Drosophila melanogaster: one gene and its partner. The protein of the gene in region 2 interacts with the protein of the main gene of each other region in a pairwise test. Each region holds a gene or a part of one and is shown on either strand. Other genes may lie near its edges.

The links. The genes of interacting proteins can lie anywhere in the genome.
Region 1: the proteins of pio (region 2) and CG14830 interact in a two-hybrid assay, tested with the Drosophila melanogaster proteins (one large-scale study listed by BioGRID).

What each region holds. Positions count from the first base shown.
Region 1 is NT_037436.4:7,260,346-7,266,571, reverse strand, and holds the start of CG14830 (uncharacterized protein), read left to right. Parts: upstream 1-2,651; 5' UTR 2,652-2,829; exon of another isoform or gene 2,830-2,940; intron 2,941-3,476; 5' UTR 3,477-3,623; intron 3,624-6,226.
Region 2 is NT_033778.4:24,579,628-24,585,558, forward strand, and holds the start of pio (piopio), read left to right. Parts: upstream 1-1,617; 5' UTR 1,618-1,741; exon of another isoform or gene 1,742-2,213; 5' UTR 2,214-2,451; intron 2,452-5,931.

The DNA of each region.
Region 1 (6,226 bases), on a different chromosome or scaffold from region 2:
ATTAAACAATCCACCGCCGAATCTTGATATCAATATTTTGAAGGAAACTACTTGAAACCAAGCGTAAAGAATATAGTTTTTTAAATGTGAATGCAAATACCAATGGGCCGCAATTCAGGTTCCTAAGCTCCCCTCCGTAAATATCTGAATGGATGTATCTGAATAGCAAACAACTCTAAACTATAGCTAAGTACATAAATGTGTGTCTGTGCCACAGTTAATATCAAATCAAAAAGGAATCGATACGAAAGCGATAGGGAAACTAAGAATGAAAACGAGGACGAAACCCCCTAAAACATATTCAATGTAAATTCAACAAATGCTGCAGAAAATAAAAAAAAACATTATCAAATTCAATCAATAAATGTCAATGAATAATTAACTAGCAAGTGTCTTTTATTCAGCGTGCAATTCGTTGGAAATTCAAAGGGGTTCCAAAATAGGTGGGAAATGGTAAATATGGAATGGCTATGAAATGGAATACAGATGGTGCATTTCAACTAACTGTAGACGACATTTTACGTAGTGACGAAGCGCACCAATTGACAAGCAGAAATCAATCATCACTTCTATCCGTTTTAATTGATAAGTAATTGCTGCTAGACGAGTAAGATTTGTTATCAGCTTGCAGGTAATTTATTTTTGTTAGTAATTTAATTTTCCAGAGAACTTTCATCTACTGATAAGCTAGAATCAATCCCAACGACAGTCCAAATGTCAGAGGTATGAAAACAAATTGTCGTCTTGCTGTCGGGGTTGCGGCCGGGAAAATGTTTACGGAATTGATTTGAGGCATTATCTGGTGCACGTCAAAGGTCCGGAGTGAAAGTGTGGAAAAGCTTTTATCTAAATTAAATCCCGACACATGCGAACCCGTCGATTTTTCCCAGTCTTTTTTCAGCCATTTTAAGCACATGACGTACGAACGACTTTGCCACTTAAAGGGGTCACCTTAAAGCGATCCTTTGAGACGATACATATGTAAGTGTACATATGTAGATGGTCTCATTGTATTTAAGGCACAATCTAAACTTTTTCACGACACTCACGACTGAGAAATCTGTGCAGTTTTATGCAACTTTTATGACACCAGCCGAGGACGAAAAAACTTTTTACGACTTGCAGTGCCAAAGAACAAACACCAGACCTTCTCGAGCTGCGCCTGATGCGTAAAGTCAACAAAAAGTAACGAACGAACTACTACGAACTACTACTACCCTAAGGAACCGAGTGAGGGATTTAACAAAAAAAAAGTCCATCCACCTCTGCACACTGAATGTGTGTGCAAAAAAAAAAGTGCTGGCAGGAGAAAAACCTGAAATAGACAATGCACAAAGTATGCACAGGATCCTGTTCGTGTCAGAATCAAAGATATCCAACTTAGAACAGGACGACATTCGCTGTACGGAGCAAATAAAAAAATTAGTAAGGATTTGACACGCTGGAGATGGTGAACAAATATTTCACATATCTCTGTTTCAGAGGAAAGTTAAACAACTGCTGGTAAGTACACTTTTCAGTCCAGTTGGAAGCCATATTAAATGAAAATTAAATTTTTAAATAATATATACATTATTTATATTTTTTCAAATTATAATTGCAAAATAGAAAATAAACTAATGCTAACTGCGCAAACGGAAGTTGCACGAAAGTTGTTTGAAAATTTCGCGCAATATTTTCACACAAATGCATACAATGTACGAAAAATATGGCATGTAATATTTTTTTTTTACATGACTGACTATTTTGAATACCATTCAGCGTATAAATTGCAACCTTAAACGTTTACAGAGAGAGGGGGATGTGCGGGGAAAAGTGACCCAGAGAGTTGGGCCTCTGGCCCCATTATCGATGCCACTCATCCTAATGACATGATGCAAATTAAGCCCCCAACTTCTGCCGCCAGCCAACATGACCCCCAATGCTCCAGCCAGCAGTCAAAAGCATTGCACAGTCACGTGCGGCAGCTGGCCAACAGCGGTGCCTGTCAGCCAGTGGAGCCTAATGTAGTAAGCCCCCAATACAGTTCACCTCCCTGTAACCCCTGTAACGCTCCCTCACTACCACAACCAACACCAACTCCTCCCACCACCCACTTTACCTCCCGGTGCACTGAAAAAATATTCATAGGGAGATAATGTGACAAATTATAAGCAAGATGATTATATTTTATGTTAAAGTAAAAGTATCAAAGTCTATGATTTAAATAAAGATAAAAATAAAAAACATCTTTTAAATATTTTCTTATAAAACTAACCATAAGTTTACTTATCATACCACCACCAAAAAATTCTAAACTTCTATCTAAGAATTTCATAGAAAGAGAATCTTTCGTCACCTTTTTTTTCTCTGTGTGCGAATGCAGTGCACGTGTTGCAGAAGTTTCGGTTAACGGTTATTAAATGCAGTTTTTGCAGTTTGACAACAAAATGCAGTCGCCAAAAGTGCAAAGTGCAGATGGTGGAGACCGGCACGGCCAGGCCAAGAAAGCCACAGAGAGTGAGAGAGATGGGGAGAGTATAGTTGGGAAAGAGCCCGAAGAGTCGATAGTGAGGATTGAGTTGGCCAAGAGCGCAACCGGTTCGAGACGCGTTTTAGACCAGTTTAGACCACTCTCACAGGTGCTGGAACATTGTCGCAACTCTCGAGCGATCAGTTTGAGCCGTGATCGCAACGCGTTCGCTTCGATTTTTCCCACCGGACCACGGTGCATTTTGCAATCTCCGCGATTGCCAAACAAACAAAACAAAGTTTTACTCCAACGAAAAAAAAAAAAAAAAATCTGAGATAAATAACGCGCAGCAAAAGCAACTATTTTTAGCGGATTACGTGAGTGTCATTTGAATTTTTTCGACGTGAAGTATACGCCCGATCTGTTGGCGAGAAAAATAAGAAAAAGAAAAGAACAAACAGAGTGCTGGCCAAATTTGCTCGCCATCTGTATGTGTCTGTGTCTAAGCCAAAGTGTGTGCGAGTGTGTTTGTGTGTGTATTTGTGTGTTGGCCAGCTCCAAAACCTGCTGCTATTATTAGCCTTAGCCAAGATTATGGGCGATTTCATTATGGCGCTGCAATTTGCTGTGCCGCCGCAAAAAGCGAAACAAAAATGTAAAACAGTGCCTGGGCCAAGAAGATTTGAGCCGAGTTAGACGAGTTCCGATGTCTTGGCCATTGTGTTTAGGCCGCCTCGCACCGACCGATTCGAGCCAACTTGCGAGAAGCTGCAACGCCTTTCATTCATTCATTCATGGCGGCGCTGGCGATTATATCATTCCGTGTATTAATGTGTTGGCTGCCATTTTGGTCAGAACTAGTAAAGGTTTTTGGCCCACACACACACACACACGCGCACAAGCACATTTGCAAAGCGTCAGCGGCGACGATGTCATCGCCTTCATATTTCCAATTTACATTAATATTTTTCTCCACACAACCAAATCACATTGGCAATGTTTGTTTTCTCGATTTTCGGTGCAGCAGCAGCCAAGTGAAGTGTAATGAAATGTGTACAGCGGCCAAAAACTAACAACCTGTCGCATTGGCTGGCAAAAAGCGTTAACAATAAATAAGCGAAACAATACCAACAGCACGGCCAGTTCAACTGTATAACAATGAGGAGAGAAGGTAAGCCAGTTTTTGTATTTTTATTTATTTTGTAGCCCACAACCATGCCGCGGAATACATTCCCATATCTCTATATATGTATATATGTATATGAAGGGAAGTTGTGTGGATGCATAGACGAGAATACAGAGAGAAAAATCCAAGGACACATGTCTCATATCTAAATTAGATCATCTGAACATAAGCTAAACTCACTTGAGAATATAAATTACAATCAAATTAAAACGAAGTGCTTAAACTTTTAAGTGTGTTCAATACTACTACAATATGTTTAATGATTTCGTTTTTAAATGACTTAGGATCAAGCTGATTTATAACTAAATATTAAAATTCATCTAGTATTTTCATCTTATTGTAGTATTTTTCGGGCACATCAATTTTTCCAGTGCATGCTCAACTCGCTTATTTGCCAACAATTTGCTTTTTGGCGCAGTGTAATTGCATTTCGAGCATCTTAAGACTGCCATCCACCTTCAGTTTCAATTTCCGCAAAACGTTGAACCGAACTCAGCTTTTGCCTTTGCGTGGGTGGGTGATTCCATTGATTACGCACCGGTTGACCCTGAAAGTATCAGCCAAATGTTGGCTGGTACACTGGCCTTATATGAGCACGATTTTCGGTCTTTTGTCGTTCAGTTTGTTCGCCTTTCGATGGCCGCAGGAGGAGTGCTTATGTCATTTGTCAACGGACCAAAAATGATACTCGCTACCGAAATCCGTTGGAAATTCGAGTGAAAAGGCCACTCTTTGGTCATTTGGCAGCAAGACTGCAATCTGGGGAATTGCCTTTAGGCGATAGTGAGACCAGTACAAATGCCAATACCAAATGGATCAATGAGTGAAATTTAATGTGCTTATATGCATTTCATTTATTGCTTTCACTTTTCGCCCGAATGTGACAATCGTGATGGCAAAAGGCATATCGAGGAAATGCTTTGACATAAGCCCTTATCCAACCAGTATTATCATTAAGCTAGGAAAAGCGTTTTCAATGGGCTTATCTATATGGTGTATCTGCAGCTCCCATAGTTACCATAGTTCAGATATGAGAGTAAAAACCCCCCATGTAACTAACCCACTGTGCATAACAGAACTTGCTTTTGGTTTTGGTTTTGCTTGTTCAGTTGGTTGGATTTTTCTTCGGCACTATTTCTTCGTGTCTTCGCCGTTGGCCATGTTTATGCTTAAAAGCCAGCCATGCTTAGCACGCTGGCCATCCAATAAAAGTTGCAGCTAGAAATTCAAAACCAACGCCAGCGGCCAAGTGTTTCTAGTTTTTCTCTTAGCCCCCTTGTTTTTTTTTTTCTTTTGGTTTGATGACAATGTTTTGATAATAATGATAATTTTCTGTGTCTCTTATTGTGCTGGGGTTTTTTTTTCGTTTTTATTTTTTATTTTTGGTTTGGGGTCAACATGAAGTTATGAGTTTCGTGATTGCGCCGAATTCGGTAACAATTAGAGTTTTGGCAAAGATAGCTTTTCAGCTATCAGCTAAAAACCGATGCTCATGGTCAGCAGCGTAATTCGCAAGATACAGGGAAAGTTACGTAATCCTGCTGCGGCTGTTGCGGTTCAGCGCAGACAGGTTTTAAACGGCCAATTTGCAGCTGCACACGGTGCGTATACGTGTTAAGCGAGAAACTAGCGATTCATTGACTCCAAGCCACAGTAAAATTTAACCGAAGAGGGTATATACCCAAATGTATATATGCAAAATACTCATCAGAAAACACAAATCAATCAAAGCTAATCACTTTCGGCACGTTGGTTATATAAAGTCAAGTTACTATACACAAATATGCAAAAAAAAATAAATCAACTCCCAGCTTTCGCAGTCTTACTCATTTTTCGATGTTTGCGTGTGAATCGGAAAGACAACTAAAAACTGAACCTAAAAACCAAACCAACTATTATGCAGGTACGAATTATCCAACCAACTGCAACTTTCATCTGACATTTGAGGCGACTGCATGCAATTGAAATCTGCAAACCAACAGATGACTTGGTGATGGTGATGTCATCATCACATATATGTAATTAATGTCTCGTGTTGCTTGCACATTCATTGCGTGCAAATTATACGAAAAAGTATCCGACATTCAAACATTCAGACATTCAGGCATTCCGCGGTTGCATTCGTGCTATATAAATCAGCTATCGACTCGCAGATCGATGCTAAGTTGAATGCTTATTGAATCAATGATGCCAACCGGTTTTGGCTCCGATTTCTGATTTCTGATGGCTGATTCGATTTTTTAGGGTATCAGTTAGAAGCAAATTATGGGTTTCATTAGACTCTGAACAGCTATTTCAAAGGCCATTACTGGCATTCTTATTATATTGTTTACAACGCTTATGCATAATTCTAAAGAATATTGACTGGTGAAATTTAATTGCCAGCTTTAGGTTGCTAAACATTTATTCAGAAATATATATATATATATAATTGCCTAAGAGCATCTTAATAACTTTTAAAAATCTGTATTAGAAACTAATACTATACTTCTTCTCTAATTCCCACAAGTTTCAGCCCCAAATAAATCCTATCACATTTCATTTGGCCTGGGAAACAATTAGAAGTGGATAAACAATAAACAAAGCTC
Region 2 (5,931 bases):
AAGTTTCTTGCAACAACGATTGTGATTTGATAAAAGACCTGGACAATCTACACACATTGAATTTTTCTCAGATTTAATTTGCTAGTAGCTCCACACGGCTATATCAAGGTTAATACTATAAATTCGGCTGGAGTTAATAAATTTTCCGGACGCCAAACAGTGACAGTTACCCCGGCTACGTAGTCCTGAATCCCCCGGCCGCCTTTTGGGAATCGGCCTGGTCCCTCCGGAACTCCATGTCCTGTTGCTGTTCAATGGGGTGGTTTTCGGTTTGTTCGATTGTCCCCCCGACGACTGTCGCTTGGACTTCCCCTTTTCGACGGATTGAGGAGTTGGAAAATTTTTTATTTAAATTTATTTATAGTCAATAAGGTGGGCAGGCCATGCTCTTAAGAGCTTGCTTAACTATTTTAACATAAATATATAATAAATAAATAATACATTTTAAATTATTTAAAAAATTTCCACTCATAAATATATGCTTATATTTTATTTGTGTAAAGTACCTATAATGCCAAATGGTGAGGGATTTACCCATCCCAGTCCTTGTAGAATTCTCTCACGTCTCAAAAGAATAATTCGTCCACTTCATCCAAGTTTTCCCCACACATGTATAACCGAAACAGAGGAACACGCATAATAATAATAAATATTGATAGAACTAAAGTATAAACAGCGACGGGCAGCTTCAAGGGAAATACGGCAGAAAGTAACAACAACTCGGGGTCTCCGAGGTGTCACAGCTACCTGTACTCGCACCTGGGATCTCGAGGTTGCAAGGGCGCTGGGTTCACAGAATGTAGAGACAAGTTCAAGATTTATGTGCCTACCGAGTAAAACAAAAGAAGAGCAGCATGTGTCCCACAGAGAAGCCTCGTCAGTCCAAGCAGTCAGCCCCACCAGTGGCCATATATGCCGTCATCAAGGTGTTCTGGTGACAGCCCACACACTGGCCATAATTGCACCGATCTGCTGCCAAGTTTGAGCAGAACCTGACTTCCAGTTGCGAGCGCACAGCTGTGGCCGAAAGCATGACGTTGGCCTGGAGGCGCTCCAAAGACACTTGGATACCACCTGGATACTTGGAAACTTAGTCTAGAGTGCTTCGAATCAAAGCATTTTTATAAATTTTAATCACAAACAAACATTAAAGAATATGGCAAAAAATATTTAAATTTAAAAAAACCTTAGCTAGGGAATATAGGGTTTTTTGTTGAGGTTTCCAGCCCAATGTTTCTCTATGTGCACACTTGCGATATGGGATGACCGCCGCCCGACCCTCTAATTATGCCGCACTCATTAGAAAGACAATCTGGACCCGCAGCCGTAGGTGTATTAAAGGGAGCCAGCGGAGCGTGGCCGCCAGTCCCGCCGGTCATCAAGTGCAGCTCAGCTGGACGACGTGTTGCTGCTGTAAAACTGGCAGCGACACCGCGGCCACCGCCAATTGAGGCGATACTATACTATGCCTTAGTGAAGAGATCGTCGGAAGAGCGCACATAGACTTGCCAATTGCTCCGAAAATCCCAGAGCGCCGCCACTCCGAATCTTGGCAAGACCGGTTGTCGGCCATCGTCTTGGCGTTTTCGTCGGAGTGCGAGTGGCTCGGTTTCGGGCCCAGTCAGTCTTGGCCAGGTCGGTGTGCGAGACACATCCACAGCGCTCAACGAACCTCTATCCCATCGATCCCATCGCTTCGATTTCGATTGCTATTCCGATTCGTTTCGATCCCGAATCGTGCGTGAGTTTTTCGAGTGGCGTAGCTCTGCGGTTATGGCTCCGTTTACCCGGTTCTAATTGGATCGTGCGTGTGGATTTGAAACGGCTTTCCGTGGCTCCAAGAGACGTTCATGGGTTTCCGAGATTTGAAATAGTTGCGGTTGTTGCTGTTGTGCCTGTGATGTTTCTGTCGTGATTTTCTCTGATTGTTGTTGCCCTTGGGAAGCGATTAAGCTCGACGGGTGGTTGAACCGGGCCAGTAAATACGTGCTGAATGATTTGTGAATCTTTTGAATATTTCGCGTTGTTTTCTGGGGAAGTGCAAAAGTGTCGGGAAGTTTGTTGCCTCAGTCTTTTGTGTTGAGACGGCGTAATAGCAGCAGCAGCAGCAGCAACAACAACAGCTCGGATTATTTGCCACAATTCGCACAAAGAGCAGCTCTTAGCGTCTCTTTACCACTCTTGGCCAACTCTTAAATGTGCAATTCCCGCAGCGTTAACATGTAAAACGAGTGTTGGCCACAAAACGAAATAATTATAGAGGAAGCCCGCAAAAAAAAAAAAAAACACTTAGGAAGTACATAAAAACAAAATCAAACTAATGTGAAACCAAAATTCGTGAAAATATCTAAAATCATCATCGTTCCGGGCAACCAGTTTAAGGCACAGCGAAATCGCAACAACGGACACATAACAAATTGGATTACGCAAAAAGGGCGAAGTTGGCTAGAGGTGAGTGTTGCGGAGTTGCTGTTTGAAAAGCCATAATCGAATAACCAGAAACCCGAAACCCGCAAAAAGAAACAGTTAAAATCAGGCAGAAAATCAAAGCTGTGCCGTTTGCAAAAACAAACCCAAAACAGCCTTAAAAGATGACTTCATAAATCGCCGACGCTGTGGATGTGCCAAAAATCCATCAGCCAAACCGGTTGGCTTCACTTCGCCTCGCTCGAAATTCGGAATTCACGGAATACCAATACTTGTACTCGGGGGAACAAATTGAAGAAGCGTTGCAATCTGTTTTCTGTGCAAATGAAATGGGCCTTATCTGAAAAGCGGCCTGAGAAGCCATCTGTCCGGGGATCTGAACCTGTTTGCCAAGGTTGCCAGTGGCCGATGTTGGCTGCCAAGTTCGCAGCCAGTTGCATCATCTGGGGACACAAATATGGCCGCGATGGGGTTGGCCATCGGCAATTGGCTATTTGAGTAGCCACATCACGGACATCCGTCTTCCATCCGCTTTTCCTGCCTTCTTTCCCGTTTTTCAATGCCCATTTCTGGATGCGCACCGCATAAGTAATGTGTCATCGGGCTCTTGGAATCAAAGGTCCATTCACATTTACCCCCACTCCGTGTGCGGCCATTATAAGCCAGAATCTGTTGCTAATTGGCTGACCCAACATTACCCACATGAGCTGAGACCGGGTTCTTCTCCTTGTGGAACTTTTAGCACTTCCACGGATCACACAGCCATAATTATGTTCGTTCCATTGTGTTCGGGTTGGCGTCTAAAGAAGCAATTAGAAATGTTGATTGATGGAGAGATGAACCCCGAACCCATCCCGATCCGACACTTGCATCATCTTTGGACTATGGGAATGTGATGCACGGCCTTTCCCTTTTCGGTGATGCATGGCCTATTAATTGGTTAATTTGTGGTTTGTTAGCCATCAAAATATTGTAGTTGGCCAATGTAATGGTCTTCATCTGCGTTGAATACAACGCCTTGACTAGTGAATAATGGCTCATCCGCCAAAGGCGTTTATCTCCAACTTCTGTTGGATATTTCCAAGTTCTCCGGCATTCTCGGAAAGCTTTGCGTCGAGGAACGCCAACGCAAGCGTAAAATTTGTATAATTAAAAGGCGAATCTGCGCCCGAGCTGCTCGAATACCAGTTTCTGAGCCATCGTGTAGTTAACTTGTTTATATAACAGCCAGACAACAACTCGCAGTGACCTTGAAGCGGGCACAAAATAAGGTAAAGACGGAAAATATGATTGTACGTATAATTTCGTATTATTTTGCTGCCTGGCGATGTGTGTGCTCAGCTAAGTGAGAGAAGTGAAGACATATGACGGATTTTTGGGGGTTTATGAACTAAGCCGAGAAATGCGTGTGGGCTTGATTGCCAAAAGCTGTGTGATTGATTTATAATCTCCCGCGGAAGAACTAACAAAGAAAGCGCCAAAAATGGTGAGGTCATTCAACCAGGCCAAGACCTTTTCAGCGTTAGATTTCCGCCTGCTCGTTGGTATTGATTTACAGTTGAAACGAAAGACTTAGGCAACGAACTTCGCGACTGCATTACTCATACGACACGTTGGCGCTCAGCACTAATTATGCAAAAACCCAAATGCTAGCGAAAGGCGTGCCCCAAACCCAGCCGTGAGTCACAAGCTTCGCTTGCCCCCCGTTAAACGGACACTCTGCATTGGGTTGCTTGTTTGTTTTCGGCCAAAATGAAAAGTCGTCTGGCTAGTTGATCCCCCACTCTCCAGCCTCCTCCACCACCACTGGCGAATTAAACCAACATTGGCAAACTCAAGCGGACTTAAATGCAGGCTTTTACCTTAGATCAACCCCACGCAAAACCCCGCGACTGCAGTCGACCGACCACGAGGTTGTTCAATTCATTCCAAACACTTTCAAATCCAAGCCTTAAAAGGGGAGTGGCAGGCCAAGACTTTTGAACTGCGGACTGTGCTCGAAGGAAGTGGGCACAGAACTGTGGCCAATACTTGGTGTGTTAAGTTCTCAGACACTAAGATATAAGATAAATAAATTATTGTAATATAGTAGCGATCGTCTATGATATCAATGTCTAAGTTTAGCATTTATGACACTACAAGTGATTTATCTCAGTGAAGTTCTACGCTCATTAACTTCAAGTACGAGACTATTTATGGTTTAGAGGAAATCCTCCTCAAAAGTTAGTTACTTAAGTACTGAGCCGAGGAAACTTGCATAAACTTATTATGGGAAACGTAAGGTCAGCTCGGCCTGTCATTAATAAGCAATGCCCATTTCTCGAACTCATCAGTCGAGTCCCTCATCACAAACAATAATTAGCTTTAAAAAAAAGGGGGCTCAATGAATAAGTTTTAATGATGAATTTGGCTGATTCTGACCAGCAGTAGCTGCCAATGTACGAGCAGCTGGGAGGCTGGATTTTTAGTACTTCTAGACGCGAAACCCCAGCCAAGCAAAAACGGAACTACAAAACTAGTTTCAGCTGTGCCTTTGGGCTGAAAGAAAAAAAAACCATAAAAACAGCGGGTAACAATGGGCGCCAGTCAAAAGGCAAAAAGCACGGCAACAGCAAAAAGAGCAAAATAAATGGCTGAAACTGAAATATTGTAGACCCGGCTGATAAAAATCAAACACATTCATGTCTACAGCTCAGCTCAAGTCACGTTCAATGCGAATTTCTTTGCCGTTTGTTTTTTTTTTTTTGCTATTTCGTACATATTTTTTCTTCGTGGCAATAAGCAAGCCTGCGGCCACAAAAATTAGGCGTCAAAATGGGAGAGAAAAATATATTTAGGCAGCGCCGCGGGCCGAGCGATTGTGGGTGTCCAATCAGCGGTTTGCATATTGGCCAGTTGGTTTGAGCCCAATTGGACATCTTGACAAATGGCAGAGAAGCTCGCCATTTGCAGAGAACTTACATAACTTCGTGACAGCAGCAAGAGCAGTGACACGCAACGCATTGGGCAGTTTTTGGTCTTAAGCCCAAACTTGGTTCGCACAGTGTGTGGCAAGACCCGATGTCTCCACGCTCCAGTTTGATGCGTGTGGCAACAACCAGGTCAGCGCATTTGGCCAAGAGGGTGGAGTTGCGTTTTTCCACTTTAAGACCCCCTAATGATGCGCGATTTTCGAGTTCTCACATTGCCTTAATGGCCAATTGCCCATTAGAGCCTGGTCGGCTGTCGTTGGCCCAATCTATTAAATCTATAAACGGAATCGGCGTTGGCGTTTATTGCAATTGGCCAACAGCAAATTAACAGCATTGTTAGCTCATTTGAGGCGAACAATGGCTGCGGCGAGACAATTGCACTGACCTTGGGACAATCGCCGGGTGGCTATAGGTTCGTTCCGATCCGCTGGCTCTCGGCTACCTACCTGACTAGCTATCAATCCCCCATAAAGTGCCAGCTAATTGCTGCATCTGAAGTCGCAATTTAAAATTCTAATTTCCAGAAACAAAG